2 linked regions of the Lepisosteus oculatus genome follow. Each later gene encodes a partner of the first gene's protein in a complex. Links are inferred from orthologs where the notes say so. Each region holds a gene or a part of one and is shown in the gene's direction. Other genes may lie near its edges.

What was found.
Region 2: med24 (region 1) and med20 share a complex: the UniProt entries of both Homo sapiens proteins name them as parts of the mediator complex. The link is inferred for Lepisosteus oculatus from reciprocal best matches to the Homo sapiens genes MED24 and MED20.

Annotation. Positions count from the first base shown.
Region 1 is NC_090723.1:6,285,067-6,296,673, forward strand, and holds the start of med24 (mediator of RNA polymerase II transcription subunit 24), read left to right. Parts: upstream 1-6,578; 5' UTR 6,579-6,701; intron 6,702-7,927; 5' UTR 7,928-7,972; coding exon 7,973-8,102; intron 8,103-8,680; coding exon 8,681-8,763; intron 8,764-8,920; coding exon 8,921-8,959; intron 8,960-9,231; coding exon 9,232-9,305; intron 9,306-9,859; coding exon 9,860-10,080; intron 10,081-10,325; coding exon 10,326-10,437; intron 10,438-10,960; coding exon 10,961-11,111; intron 11,112-11,607. UniProt on the Homo sapiens protein: Component of the Mediator complex, a coactivator involved in the regulated transcription of nearly all RNA polymerase II-dependent genes.
Region 2 is NC_090700.1:40,787,453-40,798,811, reverse strand, and holds med20 (mediator of RNA polymerase II transcription subunit 20), read left to right. Parts: upstream 1-5,371; 5' UTR 5,372-5,455; coding exon 5,456-5,469; intron 5,470-7,013; coding exon 7,014-7,162; intron 7,163-7,435; coding exon 7,436-7,689; intron 7,690-7,790; coding exon 7,791-8,015; 3' UTR 8,016-8,363; downstream 8,364-11,359. Other genes in the region: bysl (bystin), read right to left, coding at 1,556-1,907, 2,198-2,300, 2,391-2,551, 3,076-3,209, 3,320-3,458, 3,967-4,129, 4,767-5,043. UniProt on the Homo sapiens protein: Component of the Mediator complex, a coactivator involved in the regulated transcription of nearly all RNA polymerase II-dependent genes.

The DNA of each region.
Region 1 (11,607 bases):
ATTCCCCCTCGGAGTTTGTTTTTCATTCTCCTCAAGAGTGACGTCCCCAGAAAACAGCTCCTTTTTAGAAGTAGCAGTTTTCTGGGGAGTTGAAGACAGCATGGCTCCTTTGTCAAAGAGAGCGCTTGGCGAACAGATCCAGAACACATGCCCTAGCTGTTCGATGAGACTAGTGTCCCAGTCGGTCTAGGACGCAGAGTGAGCAGCTCAGTGGATGCAGGTGGTCTGTGAGAAGTATGTTTAAGTGCTTCCACTGCAGGACCTTCCACACTGCCCCCTGCTGGCCCTCCCACTGCCTGCAGCCTGGAGCTCTCCACTTCCTCACTGTCAGCACCTCCTGTTTCAACAAGAAGGTGGCCACGTGGAGGCTAATTTGGGGGGGGTATTGATGCATATAAAAGAAAGGAGCTTAAAATACAACATCCGTGGGTTTTAAAGCCCTCATATGACTATTATATAGAAAAATCAAATGCCGTGCTATGCTTCTCCAACTGCTTCTAGCAGATGTAATAAAACAGCTTCCTGCGGGGGGACTATTTCCTCACAGAGGTGCAGTGATCAGACGGAGAGTTCTGGGAGCACTTTGCCTAGCCCTGTCACTCAGTGAAATCCCTCCTCCTCCTTGCCGGGAACACTTCTGCGATGTATCTAGCCTTCAATTTGGGGCGCCGTACCATTGTTTCTATTGGCAAGGACTTGAAAGAGAGGGACGATCGCCACTAGGGCTGGCTCGAGAGAGACAAGTGACACCGGAAAGGATCGTGCACTAGAAAGAACTTCAGGCATAATCTATGCAACTTTCCAAGACTTCCCAGTCGAGGCGTCATCAGAGCTTCCTCTCCCAGTGAGATGATGGCGGTCTGTGTCCCCACAGCTGGGAACTCTGGACAAAGTTATTGAGATCTGGAATGCCCTCGTGTCATAGAAGAGAAAATCTTCTGGGGAAGGGGTTAAAATGCCTAACTACTTTTACAAACAGATGTACTTTTTATACATACACACGGGCTATATATATATTCATACACGTAGTCATTTGTTTGAGGACAACAACTAGTTTTCATAGTTTCCTTACTGAATTCTGACACTAGGCCTTTTCCTGGCTGTTGTTTTGATACTTCTTTTCTGCGACCGTAATGATACTAACGATATTTGGATTTCGTGTTTTGGCCATATTTCCCAATGTTTGCAGGTGGGTGGGGGGAATTCTGGGTGCGTCCAGGTTGTTGGGTAAAGAGTGTTTTTTTTTTATTGGATGTTGTTATCAGACAGGTGGGGGGAGAGATCTGAACTATCAGGACTGTGTTTACATGGGCTTGTTGGCTGCAGCCTTTTGACAGATTGTGAATTGGTGAGCTGTATGGTCTGAAGGTCTTAATTATTGCATTTGTGTGGACGTGTAACAGTAGAAATGTGGTCCTTTGGTGTGTTGATATGGGGGAAGGACCGCTGGGGTCTTTCTGTGTATTTGACATACAGCAGTTCATTCAGACACAAACCTGAAAGTGTCTTCACAGAACGTATTACTGGAGCATCAGATGATTGTACTATTTAAGTCTCCTAGTCAGGATCTGCCTTATATCAATAAAAAAAAAATCATTTATTCTTAATTTTAGAAGGGAGCCTTGTGTGTGTGTGTGTAAGGGTAAAAGTGTGTTCATAAAACACGGCACCATTTAAAAACTTTATATCTCTTGTCATGTCTGGAAATCTAGGACTGGAAGCTCTTGTGAATCGTACATGTGAGGGATTAGCTTTGCTAACGTGGGGAGGAATGTTGATCTTTATCCAGAGGTTTTCTTGCAGTGCCGCAGAAAGAGCATCTCTTTCTCTTTTTCCTCCCCGCTTGCAGTGGGAGCTCAGCGTGTTTCTCTCTGGGTAGCCAGACCTGCCAGATTTGCCTATATTGACCTTTTAGGGCCCTAAAGCATTCTTGTTTGTGTGTCCCAGTGGGTGAGGTACTGTTGCCCTAACTAAAAGTAGTGTAGTCTGTAATTTTAGTTTCTGCTACAGAGGAGACCCATGCTGGCTGTTCCAGGGGGAGTTTTATCAGTGTTGCATACAGCACAGTGCTTTTACAGTCGGAGTGCAGCATAATTTTGCTCCCCCGCCCCCTCTTAAGGAGTGTATGCAGTCAGTCTGGAGGAGTCTTTTTTTCAGAAGCTCTTCTTTTCAGCTCAAAATGCCAGATTACGCAGGGAACTAGGAACATGAGCAGAAGCAACAAAGAAGAGTTAACCAATAATACATTGCAAAATTGTCAACAATCAGAAAATGAAATAGAAACCTGTTGGAGAAGGTCTAGAAGTCCCTCGGCATGTTAGAACAGGGTGTTATGGACCTTTAGTCTGTTTTGCCTCCCTGCTGCCAAGATTTAAGCAATATGATTATTTTCCCACCTGCAGCAACCCACTCCCCCTCGGCCCTTAGATTGGTCAGAAAGAAATTCTCGACAACTGTATTTCCACACTCCTGCCTTGATGCAGCAGTGATTAGTTGCTTCTTTTTGTGAGGCACATTGGGATGTATGCATGTGGAGGCCACCCCCGTCACGGCTGACCAGCGAAACCAAAGGGCGACCAGGCTGCTGTTCGGTTTAACCACAAGGCGGCGCCCTTCTTCGGCTGTGCGCCCTTGGCACTTTTAGCCTCTTCCCTGCCCCTGAACGATGAGGACCATTGGTCACATTCCAACAGAGAACCGCACCTTCTGTTCTGCATGAGTCATCTGTCCATGGCATCCTCTCTGCGGCCACTGCTCGCAGGCCTGGGGGGAATAGCTTAGTCCAACCATCTGGCCACTGCTGGGACAAATCATTTCACCCCTCCCCCCCCCCCCCCCCGTGCCCTGCAGGACCACCTGCTGAAGGTGCATTTTAAACATTGTAAGAAGCAAGCTAGCAACAGAAGCCCATGTCCAGTCCTTGACACTTCTGAACTGCCATCCCTTGTATTCCAGGGTTTGTGTCACCTGCAGATTTTATTTATACAGCTAACATGGGTTTTTGATGCTTCATCTCCCCCTTCAGGGTTTTGTTTTTGGGTGCACAGGCAGTCAGGAAGGCACGCAGACAGGATGCTCTGTGTACCATAGGGGCGGATGTGATATTGAAAAGTCAGGCAATTCCATCACTGTGGCAGAGCTCTGCACAGGAGTGATTGTATTGGGACGTGGCTTGGCAGAGCTTGATAGCGAATGCAAAATGAAAGGCATTCTAAGAAGGCCGTGTCCACTGAAAGTCAACTCTGTACGGGAAGTGAGAGGTCTTCAGACAGGAAACATGCAGGCCATGTGACTGGAGATACCTGGACTGGTTCCTGAATGGATTGGAGGCAAAAAAAAAAAAAAGGAAGATTAGTTTAAGACATGATTTTGGATCGGAGCAGATGACACAATAAAAGGGACATATTGCTTCAGTCTGGCTGCAGAGTGTCACTAAAATTAACACACCCGCTTGGCATCTCCTTAGTATCTACAGTACTTTACCCTTACACACCGTGCTTTGATGATAAATGCACTTGTAGCTCTGCTTCCTTTGCAACTGGAAGTTTAAGTGTGATCTCCCATGACAGTTTCTGAGGAGTTTCTTGCCTCAACCCGAGTCGATGAGCAGTGTGTTCAAGCTGGGAGACCTGCCTGAGTGAAACAAGGAATCCTGTTGCCCCCCCCAGTGGACAGTTATCATCAATGTTCCTCGTCCATTCGGGGAAGCAAATTCTGAGCGTATGCGATGCCCGTTCCCTTGACTGTGTGAACCCCTGGACTGTGTTGTGCCTACTGCAGGGTAAAATGGTAACACAATCTTGTTTTGCTTTTTTATTCAAGATTCCCATTTTCTTTTTCTGAAGAAGTCCTAGAAGTGCCTCATTTCTGATGTGTGTTGTGAGAGCATAATGCTCTGTGTTCCCTTGAAAAATAAGAAACAACGCAACACTCAGTTTTTAGTTTTGATCATTTTACCCATTTTTTTACATTTATTTTACTATTCCACCTCCTACGTTATCCTGTTCCTTCTACCTTAAGTTAGCAAGATCTCCAAGGTTACAATAATATGGCATACCTCTCTGAAGGCTGATAAAAGCACACTCCAAAAAAAGACAACTATGCAGTTTCCTTATTCATGTCTGAAATGAATACAAAACTTAAATGCTGCTATGGGGGAAATAAAAGTGTTTTTATTTTATTTTTTTTCCCCCAAACAAAAGCAACCGACTGTTCTTATGTTTGCAGGAAACTCGTTGACACTGGTCAAGGGGAAATCGAAGAATAAAACTGGTACTGTGCTTTTCATTCCAGGAGAATTGAATTTACAGGGTGGAGGCAGACTGTTCATCTTCCAGCAGAACTAATCAAAACAAAAATCTGACCATTCCTCTGAGGCCTTGGACAAGAACTGTCAAATACACAAACAAGGAAAAAGACACAGAAATGAATCTGTATGTTCTATGCATATGTATTATTGTTGTTTTAAAAATGTATGCAAATATTTGCTGTAAAGTTTATTTTACCTTTTTGTACATATGGTCTTCAAATGTGTAACATATTAGAGAAACAAAAAATATTAATTGTTTTTAAAATGTTGCTAATATGAAATGGTGTAACATTGCTAAGCCAGCCTGCATGAAACAAGTCCCTTTAATATTTACATGGTTCAGTGCTTTAAAAAAAACAATGCAACCCCTGAGAAAACAAGTTCTATATATGTTGGAAATAAATGGAATTATTTAAAAAAAATCAGTAGGTGCGATTCGTTTTTTTTTCCTGTGATGAAAACATGAAAAACTCCTACAAACTACAATATCAGTCTAAAGGAATTTGCCTGAGAGCTACACTGACATGACAATAGAAACATATTTCTATCAAGAGGTCTTGTGGTTTTGGACAAGCTTGTTGTGTAGTGGTGGGTTGTTCTTATGCCTTAAGCAGCTGATTGATCTCGCAGCCTGTCTAAGCCCCGTGTTTTAGCATTTGTTATAAGTATTCCATTCATCATATTCTTTTCAGCATTATTTTTTAATCCTGCATGCTAACGAACAGTTCACTGCAGTATAGTGCTGTGTGGGGTCAATATGAAAGTCAGTGGATGTCTTGTATTTGGTTTTAGGGTAGATAAACCAAACAATATCCTGATTAAACGCTGTAATTGAATTCTAATTACTTGAGTTTACATCATACAGAAGCACTTCACATGCTGGAGGACCGTCTAAGTCAGAGGTTCCCACACTGCTGGTTTTCATTCCAGATTTTCACTGCAATATTTGCTTCTTGTTTTCAGTCACAATTTCATTTCACTTACAACATACACTGGCTAACACTGCAGCATGTTTAAGAGCCGGGAGCAAACGCTTCAAAAGTAATAGGTTTATTCCATGCTGAAAAAAAGAAGAAAGAGAACGCAACGTTTCGGCCGTGGAGCCTTCTTCAGGTGTCACCTGAGAAACGTTGTGTTGTCTTTCTTCTTTTTTTCAGCATGGAATAAACCCATTACTTGTTCCTTTGCAGCCTACGCATGCTGACGCAGCTCCCCACCTGATTATTATTAGGTCAACGAAGGATTTGATTGTGTAACTGGAACACCGACCAGCAGGTCTGGGGGTCACCAGGACTGGGACGGGGAACTGCTGCTCTAGGACGTGGACTGCAGGACTGTCATTCTGCACCAGCTGCCCGACCTCGCCGATCAGGCAGAGAGGTGAGAAACAGCTTCACCAGTAGGTGTCGTCGCTGTAGGGCTGCCTAGAAAAACTCTTTGTGCCTTTTTCCCCCCCCCAGTCTTGTAATTATGATCCTAAGTTTCATCTCACAGCTATCAAAATACAAGTAGAACATCAGCACACATCCATCACTCCTACAGTCGAAATGTGTCTCTTTTCTTTTCCTTTCAGCATAAGTAAACCTTTGCCTTCTATACCTCAAATATGATCAGGTTGACAAGCACTACAACTCCCACAATCCCTTACAGCCGGTTTGCGTTTTAACCTATTAGGCGATTGCATAGTGGCTGGTCGAGCAACCAATCACAGTGAGAGCTTTGTACCTTTTTTTTTTTAGAAGAATGACATCAGAGGCGCGACATGGTCTTGGTTTACGTAACACAACCGCATTAAAAACTTGCTCCTTATCAAAGGTGGTTTTCTTCCAATTCCCCTATCCGTATAAATATATATATATATTTTAAGTTTTTATTGAGCATCAAATAATACATGTAACGGAGAAAAGGTTTCCAAAAAAGATCAAAATATAAGTGAACGAAAAAAACAACAACACGGTGCCAGGGTACTTTCAAATCAGAACGCAATAGTTTCATATTTTTACATAAATTGTGTGTGTGTGTGTGGGGGAGGGTTGCCTTTTTCATTTTTTAGGTTTTTAAGGGAGTTTTAAGCAAAATTGCGATCATATAAGCTTTACAGGTTCCCATCCCGAATAATTACTCCCATTGTACATATATAAATCAATAAAATATCAAATACAAGACTTTTATTGTCCCAAGGCTCAATTGTCTGCGCTTCACATCTCCCTGCCTGCAGGTTCAGCTGGAAGGAAATACGTAAAAAATAAATATCCCGTCGCCTGCAGAGCAAAGGAAGCCATGATCCTTTAATGCGGTTCTGACACATGAATCCGGACAGTCAGGCCAGTAGGAAGAGGGCTTGAATTGGTTTTGTTATGCTGGTTCGCTTTTATGCGTTAAATATTAAAATGTAAGTATTGTATCATTTAGGTGATAATTAACTATATTCTGTATAGTTTCCAAAAAGCTTTACCGTTAGCACTTTGAACGCGATGCTTTTGTTGAGAATTTCACACATTTGACTAGACCGTTTCGGGAAAGGAGGTGACCCGCCCGTGAACACTTTTTTTCCCATATTCTTACTCTTGTTGTGGGGAAATTGTATAGTGTTCTTAAATATGGACCTTGTTTATTTGCCGACATCTCTACATTTGAGCAGTGTAGTGTTTGAACGCTTCAAGGTTTGTGTAACCGCCCTATACCGCACTTTTAATTTATTTTCGTGGTTACATGGAGCCGTCGGAGAAATGGAAAATTGGACAGCCTGGGTTTATTTATAAAGTGTGTGATAAATCCCCTGTGGGTTCTTGAAACTCTACTCTATCCCCACCTTTAGCTATCTTACAGTGAATAAACTGTGAGAGGCTGAGGCGAAACTGCCACTGAACTTTCTGGGGCAGAGTTTTACGCTGCAGTAATTGAAACATTTTCGCTGGCAATACATTTTCACAGTACAAAAACACTCACGCGTTTTCAGGCTTGTGTTGACAAGTGCCACCCCACTTGTGGAGGGATTTTATTACCGAAGTCTCCAGTGTTCCCGGATCTGACTTATCGTGAAGGGGAACGTGAACTACTCGAGAATCCTCTCAAGTTTAAGCGCCTCTACTTGCATTTTGAATTCTTTTTCGGGATATGTGCAGCGTCATTGTTCACACGTTGTAATTGGTTTGTGGTTGACGGTTAATACTGAATATCTGGGGCTTCCGAAGCAACGCAGTTGTTTCCAGTTAAACCCTGCGTTGTTTACACGGTATTTGTCTTGTGAGGCCTGCAGGTTGCTGTTCATAGCTCCTTCATGCCATGGCTGTGCTAAACTTTGCAGGTGGTTAATTAACTGTTAGACACCTGGACGTAAGATTGTAATTGTAAAGATCTGTGATCCGTTAAGACCTTGAAGGCTATTTTAGAAATGAATGTATTGTGTTCTTTAATATAGACCTTGTTTATTTTCTGACAACTCTACATTTGAGCAGTCTAATATTTAATAAGGCAATAGTGATGGGAGACGGGTGAAACTCTCCATACCTAGATTGGGAATTTGCACAAATTGTGGTGTAAGAATGAAATATATAAAAGCACAAGTTGCTGGCCTGGAGTTGGCACAGCCAGAAATAGCCTGTGTGCTCTCCCCAGCGGCGTGTCGGCGTGTCGGTGTGACGGGGTGGTGCAGCGCACGAGATGAAGGTGGTGAATCTCAAGCAGGCCATCCTGCAGGCCTGGAAGGAGCGCTGGAGTGACTTTCAGTGGGCCATCAACATCAAGAAGAACTTCCCCAAGGGAGCTACCTGGGACTACCTCAACCTGGCTGGTCAGTCGTGCCTCTGTGTGTGTTCCCGTCGCTGACTGTCTTGATGTCCTTTACGTCTCGTTAGGGCATTAGGACCCACACATACCGCAGGGTGAGCGCTCCCTACCAGTCCCACTCACACCTCTTCCAGCAGCAACCTTAGTTTTTCCCAGGAGGTCTCCATCCAGGTACTGGCCAGGCTCACACCTGCTGAGCTCCAGTGGGTTGCAGGGTGATACAGCAGATGGCTCTATGCTTGCTTGTTGATGAGGGATGGTGAAAGTTACAGCTACTGGATGTCTGCACATCTCTGCCCAGCTCCAAGCCAAGATGATCTGGTGGGCGATGGAGCCACTTAATTGTGGGTGGTAATAGTAAACAAACAACAGTGATATATTTTGTTAATTCTTGCAGCTTGGACAAGAAACACTGCACCTATGACTAACTTTTTCTATTACATTGTGCCCCTTGAGGAGCATGCAGTATGTGTGGTATAGTCGCTTTGTTGAATGGAGTTTCAGGTCTGGACACAGTCTAGTGGGTTCTTCTTTGGGCATTCTGATGCGTCATACTGGGTATTTGTTGTCCCCTGTGTGCAGAAGCTCTCCTGGAGCAGGCCATGATTGGACTGTCGCCCAACCCTCTCATCCTGTCCTACCTGAAGTACGCCATCAGTTCGCAGGTACAGTGCCAGGAGTACAGAGTGGATTGGAGGTTTAATGGAGGGATTTTTGGTTTGAGACATGCTTTGATCTGTGGGTCAGAGTGGTGAGGCGATATTGACATTGACATTGATATAGACAGTAAAATTAACTCTCGTCATCTTATTTCTCCCCTAGATGGTTTCCTATTCCAGCATTTTGACAGCTGTTAGTAAGGTGGGTATATGTTTTTTTTTTATTGCCAAAGCAAAACATCTGCAGTGTGCATTAGTTAATATAAATCACATTTCTACTGTACTTGGATAATAGATATTCCACGGTGTTCTTTTTAATTAATTCCCAAAAAGTTAAAAAGTTAATGCATTCTGCAGCTGTAGATCCCGGTGATGTTTAATAAGACAGGTGTCCTCTGCTTCTGTTCTCAATCTGTTTGGAAGCTGGGCACGTGACTGACCCTCACCACCCTGTTTATTCTGATTGGTCCCCAGTTTGACGATTTCTCCCGGGAGCTCTGCGTCAAGTCCCTGCTGGAGATAATGGACATGTTCTCCCATCAGCTCAGGTAGGCGAGGAATTACCCCACATTGCGAATAACATACTGATAGGTCAACGGAGGTCATATTCTTCGCAGAGTGGATCAGGCTGCCCAGCTGTGTTGCGGATGTGTGGATCAGTCCCGGCCTGTATTGCCTGTGTGTGTGGAGCTTGCATGGTCCTTGCTGGTTTCCTGGTTCTCCGGTTTCCACCCGCTTCCCAAAAGCTGTGCAAGTGAGGCTTCACTGTCCCCCAGGGTTTTGATCCCTTGGTGAAAGGCGATTGGGCTCCCTGTCTCACTACCTGTCCGTGGGCAAATCTCTTCCTTGCTACCAGTCTGCGCCAGGGGTGGGGGCACTGGTGTCGTCTGTCCAGGAGCCAGGGGACGGTCCCCCCAAGAGGTGAAGTCGGGCTAAACTGTAGGGCTCCCCAAGGGACCCTTACCCAGTCCTGATTATGGGCGGAGGCAGGCACAGCCTGACGGATCATCGCTGGTGTTATGGAAAGCGTGTGGCTGTGCCAACACCCCCCCCCCCGTTGTGCACCTCTTGTCTTACGCTCCTTCTCCCCCCCCCCCCCCAGCTGCCACGGCAAGGCGGAGGAGTGCATCGGGCTGTGCCGCTCCCTGCTGGCCGCGCTGGTGTGGCTGCTGCAGGGCTGCGCCTGGTACAGCGCGCGGCTGCGCGAGCAGGGGGAGCAGGCGGGGGAGGCCAGCCTGCGGGCCTGCGTGGACCGGCTGGAGGGGCTCCTGCGGGGCACCAAGAACCGGGCCCTGATCCACATCGCCCGGCTGGAGGAGCAGGGTCAGTGCCCCGCTCAGGGGGTTAGGGGACTGTTTTTTTTTTTTTTTAGATATGCTGTGACAAACCATTTGCACACCACAGTCGCCACAAGCTCTCATCACAAATGCAGCATTCTTTTGTCCGTTAGCGGTGCAGTTTCTGTCATGAGCGCAGGAATCTGACATTCCAGAAACAGGCACACAGCCACTGTAGAAGCAAACTGAGACCACGGTCTTGTCCCGCCCTCCCCTGGTTGTGATTGACAGCCTCCTGGACCAATGTGGAGCAGGCGGTGATCCGAGTGACGGAGAACCTCAACAGTTTGACCAATCAGGTGCTGAGGAGCAAGCTGGAGGAGTGCCTGTCATTGGTGAAGAGGTGAGCGCAGGGCGGGGTTGTGGTGATGATATTGGCTCTTTAGATAAGTGCACCCGGTAACCTGTGAAAGAAATCATTTCCACACAGATCAAGACTGGCCTACTCAAATAAACCTTATTAATGCAGGCTGCTGTAGCCTTTGATCTGTGCCATGCTTTCTCGCGGTGCAGCATTTCTTCAATGTCACGAGAGCCTTCAAGGGGAACCTTACCTCATAACCTGTAAGATGGGGAGGTGTTATATAAGACAGGGGTTCCCCATACCTCAAGGGGACGTCTTATCATGTACAGGCGTTCTTCATACTTCAAGAGGGTGGTGTTATATATAACGTAAGGGGGCATCTCATACCTCAAGCTCAATGGGTTCTGACCTTATTCTGTCTGTAAGCTCATGACAGTTGTGTATGCGGGGTGTGAAGACAGTTGTATGAGTCCTGACCCCTCCTCCTTCTGTCCATCTTTTCTCCTCTTTTCTTTCCCGGCCCCTTCCCTGGTTCCTACTTGTCTCCGCCCCTCTCCCCCAGTATCCCCCTGATGCTGGTGGTGCAGGCCGAGCCCCCCCAGCGCACCTCCTTCCCCTCGGTGCACACCCTGGTCATGCTGGAGGGCACCATGAACCTGACCGGGGAGACGCAGCCCCTGGTGGAGCAGCTCATGATGATCAAGAGGATGCAGGTGAGCGGGGGGTGCCGGCCCCGCCCCCTCCCGCAGGGACTCCCCACTGCGAGGAGGAGAGCGCCGCCACGCAGACTGGAGTCAGACTCGAGGTCTCGACGGCCGCATAGGGGCAGGCAAGTGTGTGGGAAGCAGATGAGGGCTCCATTGGCAAGGTGCACCTGTTGGCATCGCCGTGGTCCGGCTGTAAAAGCGCTTAGGCGCCCAGCGTTCGCTGAGCATCCTCTGAATGAGTGCTTTGTGAGGACAAGCTTTTCTTTTTTGAGAACTGTAAGTCTCGTGCCTTTGCTTTTTGAGCTGAACCCCTCATGGGAGCAACCCTGGGAATATTATTGCACCTTTTACATGGGTGACCAGGAGATGTCCCACACGTGGTTTATATATATATGTATGTGTGTGGGTGTGTGGTTTTTTGCACTGACGGTTCTTGCAGCTCCAGTGTAAGTCCCCGTGGAAGCAGGGCAGCAACGGCGAGGGGCTTGCCGGGATTAACCCT
Region 2 (11,359 bases), on another chromosome or scaffold:
GCATCTGCAGGTGTGAGTGTTTGTCAATTAGCCAACAGTATCACTAACTGCTCCTGTTTGGAGAGTTTAAAATGTCACCTTTTCAAATAAAACACAAGACTGCTGCTGTTAAAAGATTTTTAAACAATGAAAATTAAAATATTGAATTGTATTTTGTGGCTGTTCAGTGGTGGTGATGTCTCATTTCTGGTCTTGGGAGCAGCTGGAATGTGTCATTGTGCACAAATAGCTCTTCTCTGTTGCAGAAACACACTGAGAACAGTTTCTGTTATGGTCACTGGAAGGTTCTATCTATAAAAGTTATGTTATACTCCACAGATGTTTTTTAAAATAGTTCTACAAACCCAAATTACAAGCACCAAAGTCCCAAATACAAATTATGAACTTAGTATAGGAAAAGGGCCTACACCAGGCTTGGATCTCAACTTGAAAATACATAGCTGAGTAAAACACAAAATTATAGAAATCGATCATTTTGATTAAGCTGGGAGCATGTGATGGCTGATCAGAAATGAAGTCTATTTTAGTGAACCTGGATCTGTTCAACCCTAATATGAGAAAGAAGCCACTAAAGCAGCAGAGACACAGTAAATTACTCGGTATATAAATTAAGTATGCAGTGATCAATACTTTTAAAATGTTATCCCAGTTGTTCAGTAAGTGCTATACACAGTGAAAACCCCTCATGAAGATCCTCAACCTTTTGAGTTCAGTTCCTGAGTCAGGTTGGATTACATCCGTGAACTCAAAACAATGCACACAAATACCAACCAAGTACTTTTAATGCTGCAAGTTTACATTAAACCTCCTCATTGTTTGTTCTGATTGGCAGAAACTCACCCAGCAGCCTGTGAGTCAGAGTCAGAGTATGCCCGCTCTGGTGGGTGAGAAGTTCAGTAAACAAACAGTGTGGTTCTGCAGTTGCTGTCTTTTCAATTTCAGTTTTCCACTTGGGCTTCTTCGCGAGTCTAGACGGCTTTTTGGGAATGTCTATGGCCAGTTTTAGAAAGCTGACAGCTCCACACAGCAGCAGCCTCGGGCCCTAAACACCCCTTGCCCTCCCAGCTCTGCTAACTGGCTCTACACAACTCACAGCTTTTTTCCTCAGTAAGAGCAGCACGCACTGAGCTTGCACAACATGCCACAGCACTCTCTGACAACTACTTGAACGCTTGCTTGCTGGCAGGCGGGGTGACTCCCTTCGTGACGGTGTCTTTATCAGAGAAGGGTGCCTCCAGCTGTGAAGACGGGACCTCCTCTCCCAGTCAGAAGCCTCGTCCCCTTCACATTCCCCAGACCCCGCCAATCCCATGCGAAATCCGCATCCCGAGTCGCACAGTCGAGCTGAGCCCAGGGCAGGACTGAGCCGGCCCATTCCCCCCACAGGGAAACATTTGCTTCTGCTCCAGGAAAGAAGAGAAGAAAGGCGCCATTGCGTTTTGTTGAAATCAAGAGGAAGCACGACGTTCTGCCGTTTGGCCTGGAACAGGGAAGCGACGCAATTTCTCTAGAACATGATGAGGCAGGAAGGCGGGGGGCCGGGGCCGGAGGGCGTCTAGTCCAGGGCCATGGCGGGGGCGGCGGTCTCCTCGTCGCGGGACTTCGAGTGCTGCAGCTCCCGGCGCACCTCGGCGGAGATCTGGGGGTGGCAGTGCACCCTGAGCAGCTCCAGGAGCGCCCCCTTCTGCTCGGACGACAGGTCCTCCTTGTAGCGCTGCGCCAGCGTCAGCAGGCTCTGGTGCCACAGGACAGGCAGCGCGCGGCGGTCGCTGCGGAAGCGCAGGAAGTGGAAGACCAGCGCGTCCAGCACGCGGAAGGGCAGCGCGTACTTCTTGTCCAGGAGCAGGCGCAGGAAGATGCTGTTGGCGCCGGTGTACTCCATCTCCGCCAGCTTCAGCATGGCCGCGCTGGAGGAGGGGAAAGACAGGGACCATTCAGTGTGCTGAACTTGCCCGAACCTCTGCAGCATGAAGGGGACCTCTGAGCCCCTGCCCAAAGGGCTGTGGGTTTGAATCCCAGGTGGGGCCTCTGCTGTTTACCCCAGAGTAAAACAACACACCTCCAGAAATGGACACCAACATGTGTACATGGGGGAAAAAAAAAGGTGCTGCAATAGTAACTTCTGGAGGTTGCGCTAGATAAAAGTGCCTGCCAAATAACGAAATAATATTGCCGGCCCTCCCTCCTGCTTGTGTACCTGGAGTGCAGGACAGGGATGGAGCACTTGGTGATGATGCTGCCGATGATGATGGCCTCTCTCAGCGTGCAGGTCCCCGACTCGCACAGGGGGATCAGGATTCCTGAGCGAGAAAGAGGGGGGAGAGACGTTAGCGATGTGGCTCATCTCCTGCACTGCCAGGGACGGCCATTATAAAGCCTTAGACTCTCACCCTTGAACCAGGCCCCAGGCTTGAAAAGCGCCTTCTTCAGCGCGCTGTACAGGTGGAAGTTGAGCCGTTTATACTCCGCGATGTCATCTCGAATCCGCGGCAGCAGGACAAGGTTATAGAAGCGTTGAGCCATCCTCTCCTTCAGATTGGAGGAGAAGATCCTGCAGGTGGCAACAGGGAGAAAGAAAAATGAGGCGTAGAAAAGGGACACCTGCACACGGACAATAATTCACACAGGACACATCCGACAGCTGTCGCTTGACCTGGTTGAGTTTAACCAGGTTGTACTGTATACATTGTACCGATTAAGCATAACAGTAGCAATTAGCTTTACACGCTCTTCTGTGCATATTGAGGCACATATGAATTCCCATCACAAATTCAAAAGCCGCTACCAGTTGAATAAAAGCCTGCAGTTTGTAAAACTATAAGTGGATCAGAATCCTGCGCAATGGGTGCTCTCATGTTCTTGGACGCATAGCCCTACGAACACGGAAAGAGTTTGGGGCTGAAGTGGTTTATGAGAGAATGTTTTCTTGGTTAAAAAAGAGAACCACTTTACAGAGACGACAGGAAAGCCTCTCCTCTGTCCGTTTGCACAGTGTCAGCGCTACAAACCAAAAGAACAGCAGTGCGGTCTGCCGGCCAAGTGTTTCGGGAGCTGTGAGGGGAGTGTTGATCTCACCGTGTGGCCTGGTACATCGCTGCCGCCGTCCAGGTCTCCGGCTCTGTGATGTACAGCACCTGCTCCCAGTTGGACAGAGCAGGCACGATCTTGAAGGCCTTGGGCAGCTTTCCGCTGCGGTACTTGGACAGAACCTGGGAGAGTGCGTCAGAAAGGACAGTGAGGGAGAGACAGGGAATGGCAGCACACAGACTGAGAGAGAGGGTGTCCCCGCCCACACCGTGGCCCAGCACAGGACGCTCACCTCCTTCACCCCCTTGTACACCTCAATGACTCGGGGGTCCAGCTGGGGCATGGGGTGCCCCGACACCTCCGACATCACCGTCTCCACCTCCGTCTGCTTCTCTGTGATCTTCTCCATGATGATGTCCGCCAGAGTCCTCCTGGGGGAAGAGGCACAGTCGTGAACGCAGCCTGACACACTGAGGCCGGAGGATAGCAACCACGCACTCCGCACACGGGGGCAGGACATTCCAGGCTGGAACAACGCAGGGCTTAAGGAGACAGTCACTTGTCTGCTGTTGGCCACATCAAACCCTGGCAGACAGACCCCAGAACTCCCGAGTGCCTCAACAGTCTGGACTCCTGGACCGCTCCTGAACATTGACTATTACTGGACACACAGGGACTCTGCTGCTGGAACTGATGTGGGGTCTTTTCATTGCCAGAGAAAAGATGGTCCCATCTCAAGGATTTCTAGACGTAAACAGATATTCAAGGCAGCTTTTCCAGCAAAGTTCCGTACGTGTGGAAGAGAGCACTGCACACGATTTGTGGATTGTGGTTGAGAAACACTGAGTAAACTCTGGGCTGCGCTGCTGGAATTCTAGCAGGTTTGCTGTTGCATTGCCAGAGCCCGGCTCTGTGAGGTAGGTCGGTCCGGGTCAGTACCTGAGCGGCGGGTTCTTGCTCATGAACATCTGGATGGCCTTCTCATCCTCCGGGTCCACCTCCACCTCTGCCCCTGCCGCCCCCTCCCCGTCCTCTCCATCTCCCCCCTGCCCCAGCGCCGGCCATTCCTCCTCCTCCGAGTCCGAGTCCCTGGAGCCAGAGCCTGCAGGGCAACAGGAACAGGTCAGAAAACCCCATCAGGGCTGTTGGGAGCTAGCTGATCCCATCATTTCACCCAGATCTTTCCAGAAATGGCCCAGGGAATGAACTCCAACAACATGGCTGGGCCACTTGTTTCAGACCTCCACCACCCTCTGTGTATAGAAGTACCTCCTGGTCTCAGTTTTTAAGAACTCTTCCCAGTAGTTTTCACTGTTGGTTCTGAATCAAATCGCAACACTCTACAGCGATACAGTTTGAGACGGTGACAACCCCCCTGCCCATAACTCTCAGGACACTAGACACCAAAGGAGGATTCAATGTTTGCTACTTGCTCTCAAAGTGCCAGCATTACGGCTGGCTTCATGAAAACCTGGCCAGGTGGGTGATGGGATTGTGGCCTCTCGCTAGGGGTCGCGCCGGAGGCCGTGTGTGACCAAGCAGCTGAAGCACAGCAGAGAGAAGCGGTATCTGATTTCCACCTCTTTTGTACGAACAGTTCACGAACAGGACGCCTCACTCATGTCACTCTCCTTACAAACAACGCGGCACGCACAGCCGAGATAGGTCGCACCCGTGCCGGACGCAGGACCAGCCCGTGACAAGCGGCACGCGTTCTGTCACCCTCGCTAAACACTCACCCAGCACGGTCGTGGGCTGCTTTTTACTCTCCGCAGTCTTCCCGAGCCCGCACTCCGCCTCCAGCTCCTCCTGCTGTATCCGAGCCTGCTCCAGGATCTTCCGGGACAGCCGCTCGTCCACGTACTCGTCCTCAGCCTCCTGCCGGCGGCCACGGCTCTTCACCCGGCCGCTGCTCTTCACCTCATCGCTCTGCAGGATCTGCTCGGCCAGAGGAACCATCGCGACTCGGCTGTGCTCCGCTCTCCCTCCGCCTTTCGTCTTCTTCACTTTCGGCATCTCCGTAGGCGCCGATTCGCTCTGCTGTCAGAGTTCTGTTTGTCTTGTGTGCCGAAACCTGTAAAACAGACTTAAAACTCTGCCCGCACATGTGGAGAAAGACCACTCAGCAAGCACGCGTGACCCTTTGCCACTCACCGGAAATGATGTCACCGCCCCTCCACCCCGCACAATCATGGCGACACTCGAAGCACAAAAAATAAAATTGAAGACAACTTTTAAAAACGTCTTTATAGGAAGTCTTGAAAATGATCATTTAATTTCACGATAAGAATAATATGAATATAAATTAGCTGTACTAATTTGTTATTGTCAACCTCCGATCGTGGCGTCACTTCCTCTTCCTGATAACAGGAAGCTCGTGTCTGAAGTAACGTGAAGTTAGAGGAGTCTTGTTCTGTCAGAGGCGAACATGGGTGTAACGTGGTAAGATTAGTTATTTGAATCTTTTATTGCAGCAGAAACGTCATTTCATTGACAATGGCGATCCGGAGCGTATTGTTTTACACGGCTGGACATGGTGTTGGAGCAATGCGAGTTTCATACCTACGTGTACAACAACATAGTCACAGCTGGGTTCCTCGGGTCCAGAGCCTCACCATAAATATTAAATAATACGATAACAGACGTTTTTAAACTGGTTAACCGCGGCCCTGGTGGGGCTGCGCCGACAGCAACAGTTGTGAGTTTGCGGACTTTAGAAGCCATTTGAAACGAAATGGTCTGCAGTTTGAAAGGAGGCAGCGTGCTTTGTTTACGTGCAGGGACAGGGTGTGCTATATTAGCGGAGTCTCTGGTCCGGCGGTATATCGTTACAATTACAGTATGATGATGCTGCAGGAGGAGAAGAAGGTGGTTTGGAGAAAGGAGCTGTTTTGAATTATGTAACTGCAGCCTGGCTAATGCAGGTTATTCCAGAACCGATTGCATTTTCCAATTTAGCAGTATGTTTAAAAAGCTTTATGCACAGTTGTGTCACAAGATGACACTTTTGAACCAACTCTTAAAATAGCACTATAGTTTTGCTCGGTTCCTAGAACAATTTATTTAAAACTTTTATGCATTTAAAAAATATATAATTTAAACGATCTAATTGATATATGATGCTTTGCTTTTTTGTTTTTAAACTATCTGCTTTATAAGAACTCAACTCCAGTCTTGACTTGACACAGTCCGGCAGTGTGTTAAAAATACCAGTTAAACTCATAATTTGTTCAGTTAGGAAGGTTATTAGTTGAAATCAGTGTGTGTGTGTGGAGTGTTAGCTGTAACCCTGTGCTCTGGCAGTGTGTGTGTGTGGAGTGTTAGCAGTAACCCTGTGCTCTGGCAGTGTGTGTGTGTGTGGAGTGTTAGCAGTAACCCTGTGCTCAGGCAGTGTGTGTGTGTGTGGGGAGTGTTAGCAGTAACCCTGTGCTCTGGCAGTGTGTGTGTGTGTGGGGAGTGTTAGCAGTAACCCTGTGCTCTGGCAGTGTGTGTGTGGGGAGTGTTAGCAGTAACCCTGTGCTCTGGCAGTGTGTGTGTGGGGAGTGTTAGCAGTAACCCTGTGCTCTGGCAGTGTGTGTGTGCGGAGTGTTAGCAGTAACCCTGTGCTCTGGCAGTGTGTGTGTGGGGAGTGTTAGCAGTAACCCTGTGCTCTGGCAGTGTGTGTGTGTGTGCGGAGTGTTAGCAGTAACCCTGTGCTCTGGCAGTGTGTGTGTGTGTGCGCGGAGTGTTAGCAGTAACCCTGTGCTCTGGCAGTGTGTGTGTGTGCGCGGAGTGTTAGCAGTAACCCTGTGCTCTGGCAGTGTGTGTGTGTGCGCGGAGTGTTAGCAGTAACCCTGTGCTCTGGCAGTGTGTGTGTGTGCGCGGAGTGTTAGCAGTAACCCTGTGCTCTGGCAGTGTGTGTGTGTGTGGAGTGTTAGCAGTAACCCTGTGCTCTGGCAGTGTGTGTGTGTGTGTGGAGTGTTAGCAGTAACCCTGTGCTCTGGCAGTGTGTGCCAGGTGCCGGTGGTGGAGGGGAAGAGTGTCCAGCAGACAGTGGAGATGCTGCACAGGAAGCTGGAGCAGCTGGGAGCAGTGAAACAGGGCAGTTTCTGCGTGGACTGTGAGACCTACCATGCGGGGGCCATGGGCACTACAGGTGAGAGCGCTGAGCGAGGGAGCGTGGTTACTCTGGATAAAGAGAGAGGTAGAGTGTTGTGGAGAGAGTTGTCCAACACAAAATAGCACTGAGAGCTTGAGACAGAGGGTATTAAAAAAGCTAATAAGGAAAGGGGGAAAGATGCAGATAGATAATACCCCTAGCGCACAGAGGCTTGATGCAGAAGTAAAATGTTTGTGTTAGAGACCCAGGCTGAGATGGTACAAAGATGAACGCCCTGCTGGCCTGTACATTCTCCCTCTCTCACCCCAGGGCAGCCCACCAAGTTCCTGTACGTAATGCACAACTCGGAGATGCCTTTGAGCTGCTTCGCTCTCTTCGAGGGCGGGCCCTGCCTGGTGGCCGACCCCAACTTCGACGTGCTGATGATCAAGCTGAAGGGCCACTTCCAGAACGCCAAGGGTAACAAGGTGGAGAGCCGTGGCACGCGCTTCCAGTACTGCGACTTCCTGGTCAAGGTTGGCACCATCACCATGGGCTCCAGCGCCAGAGGGATCTCTGTGGAGGTGAGGAGCAGGAAAGCACCCAGTGGGAGAAGTAGAGGTGGGAAGGGGGCAGGAGTGAGGAGCTGAAAGGCTGCTAACATTGCGTGTGCCCGTGTGTGCAGGTGGAGTACTGCCCATGTGGGGTGCCCAACGACTGCTGGAATCTGATGAAGGAGTTCATGCAGGGATTCCTGGGACCCCACACCCCCGAACTGCCCATGGTCTTCACTGCCAAACCCGACGGCATCTACAGCCCCTCCGACTGCTCGGACACCATGGCGCAGTACCTGGAGCTCTTCGGCAAGGTGCGCAAGCAGCAGGTGGCAATCGGGAGCAGCATGCGCTGAGAGGAGGCCCCCGAGTTCCAGAACAGGTTCCCATCCCTGCACGAGCCTGAGCCAGCTGTGCTTGTGTGTGCGCGGGTCCGAGTGGGACACTGGACTTCCTGCGCGAGAGGCACAGCAGCCTGCTGGAAAGCTCCTGGCGCCTGGAGAAACATTCCTCCTGTTCCAGCTCATAGCAAGGGGATCATCCCAGTGTGCTGTTGACAAATACTGAAGGTTAAAGGTGTTTGCGCGCTCTGCTAGAACTTGTTCCAGGCGGCCGCAAAAACTTTTCAAGTGTTTCCTTTGCAAGGAAAATGATTCTTATAATGTGATCCTCCTTCTTCAAGTTAAGTAAAAACTTGGTCAGTTTTCAGGTTTCAGGTGTTTTGGTTCCTAGTACTTCTGCATTAATACTAATGTGACAGCAGTGCTAATCACCCTGTACGCTGGGCTGGGTCTGGTCAGTTCTGGGATGGGAGGCAGTGGCCCTGAGGAGGCCAGAATTTCCAAACCTGTGCCTCTGTATAGTAACAAGGTAACGAGGGATGCTGTGCTGTAGGAGGTGACTTCCTTTGGATCAGACATTAAAACATTGAAGTCCTGTCTACTTGGTCATTAGAAGACCTCGGGGCACTGTTTACAAAAGGACAGGTGCTAACCCTGCTGTCATGACTATAATCCACTAGGAATATGTACAGTCTAGCTTCCATAACATTTTCTGTAATCCTACTGGTGAAGCAAATTCTTCTCGGTAATTCACCCTATCTGCTGCGTGTCACTCGGGTGACTGATGCCACACTTCTGCAGTGGATAAACTGCGTCCCCTCCTCAAGATACAGCTGTAGGGAGCGCAACGTGCTAAACAAAAATGAGTAAAGACGAGCTCTCAAGGTACGTCACAACTGTAAGGACCCCCTGTGTTTCTTCACTACTCATGCGAGTTCTGCTGTGTTTGAACAGAAGCAGCCAGGTGTGCGGAAGAGGTGGTCAGGGTATAAACGGTGCTTCCTTCTGTGGAACTGGGAGTGGGGGGTGTTTGAGAATGGAGACCAGGCCAGCTTTCAAGGGCGCAGGAGTCATGCAGATACCTCCTGCTTCTTGTGATCCACATGGTGTCTGCTGCATAAGTAAAGCTTTGCTCCCAAGGAAGCGTTTTCCTCTCGACATCACCAACAGGACTTTGAACTCTGCAGTTATCACCAAGGCGAGACTCCTGGAGAGTCTTAGCGAGAAGCAGTGCTGCAGGGAGAAATGAAAATGTCGCTGTGCACAGCAGGGCAGGGCAGCGCAGGGTAGCAGCTCCCAGTTACAGGCAGTGAGGCGATCTGTGTGCCGTTTTCGTGCACTGGCTAGGCCTGGCAGGTGTGGCTCTGATCCGGACGTCTCGGAGTCTGGGAATTAGCCTCTTAACAGGTTTTGTGGAGTGAATCCGTGTTACAGTCTCCTGCAGGAGTACTGCAGGATTCCAGGGAAAACTATTTCCCAATGATGAGCTGAACCTGAAGCACGTTGTTCTGCCTCCGTGTTCCCCAGCGTGCCGCCGTGGGGACGGTGGAGGTGACGATGTGGGAAAAATTGCCTGTTGCTTAACTGCATCTTTGAAGGTGCCGGTCTGTCAACGGAATGCGTGTCTGAGGAAGGAATGTATGGGTTTTGTTCCTTTGAGCTTATAAGACCCGCCGGCTTTTTAGTTGGGTGTTTATTTAGAAATGGAAAAAATGCGGTCGTTTTACAACGGAGTGGAAAAGTGGTTATTTTTAATATAAGGTCCCCTGACACAGGTGAAGCTGACGTGACAAAATTGGAAGTTTTAATATCATCACTCCTTATGGCGCAACGTCATGACTGAAATATATAAAAATGTATCGTAGGATATTTAGACTGTGCCCTAAACGAATGTCTATTTGTCTATTTGAAAACGAAATCCTTTAGGACACCCCTAAAAATGCAGCAGGTCCTTCAGTTTCGGTCGAGCGATCAGTGTAACGACGCGCAGCCGGGTGGGAACTGTTGAAGGAAATACCCACCGGGCCAGGTTGTACCCGGCTCCGGCTCCTAGCAAGGAGCCGCAACTTGTTGAAATGCGAGACATAGTGACGCCAAAAAGTGTTTTCTTCCCTTCAATATAATCGGCGTTAGAATAATGTCGGAAATTATAGTTAAATTAAGGCTGCGTCTTTGAAAAGCGAAAACCAGCTATTTTGACCACTTCTATTATGCCCAAGCAATGGTATTTTAATTTACATATATTTTAATTCGGTCCTAATCTTTTATTAACGTCTTCGGCACTGGCTTTATTTTCACACCCGGGCCTTGGGGTTTGTAGCAAGATGAGCATCAAAACAACTCTGTAAGGAATAATAATAATAAAAAAACGAAACGTTTATGCCTTTATAAATTCTCTTTGTCTGTGCGTGAATACCTTACTTACTACCCTTTCCGTCCAACCGAACTTACTGAGGAGAGCTGCGCAAGGTGCGTACGTCTCGATATAAACCCACCAGCGCTAGTAAAGAAGTCAGCGCATTGCGTAAGTGTTTGGGAATATAAATCCCCGTAGAGAAGCCGAGGATTCCCAGCCGCATGCCTACGTATTCGTCGTAACTTCCTTCCTTCTTACGGAAGAAATCGAGTAGTCTCACGTACGGCCATCTGTGAATCGGCTTTTTAAGGGCTTTCTGGTTGATGGATGTCCCAGCCGCCAATGGAGAACCGAGCCTACCAGTCGATGGATCCACTTCTGTCCAATCAGCGCGCCAGAGGGGGGCGGGACTCTTCCTGTTCGGTTGTCTCGCGGTCGGTGACAGCTCGCGCGTGCAGATGATGGCGGTAAATAAAAGCTCCACACAGACATATACAAAAAAAACAAGGATTTCTTAAAAAAGAAACGTATCTCTTTAAAAAGAACACTGCAACAACGGTTTACAGCAGAAAACCTCATCCTAACCACATTCATTTCCAGTACGACTTTTACAGCCTCTTAAAGTTTGAGGTGATTTTAAAAATCTTTTTTTCTTGTTTTGGGAGGCTGGGGTTTTTAATTTGGGGGAGACCGACCTCCTGTTGTTTTTGGGTCGTGTGCTTGTAGTTTTTTTTCCTTCCTTCTTGCTGGAAGCGCATTTGCCTTTGGCGATCTGCAGTGCCCCGGCGCCCCGCGTCCCTCGCGCTGCCGGGCGAAGTTGTCTCGCAGGAGCCGGGGAGCCCGGGTCTCGCGACTCGCGTCTCGGGTCTGCGGTCTTTGTTCTGGGTAAGTGAGCCGAGCTCGTGACGGGGACCAACACGCGAGCCGGAGCGGGCAGCGGAGCTCTCGTGCCCCGAGTTTCCCCTAGACGTGTTCGCCGGAATTGTTTACACGGACAAAAAAA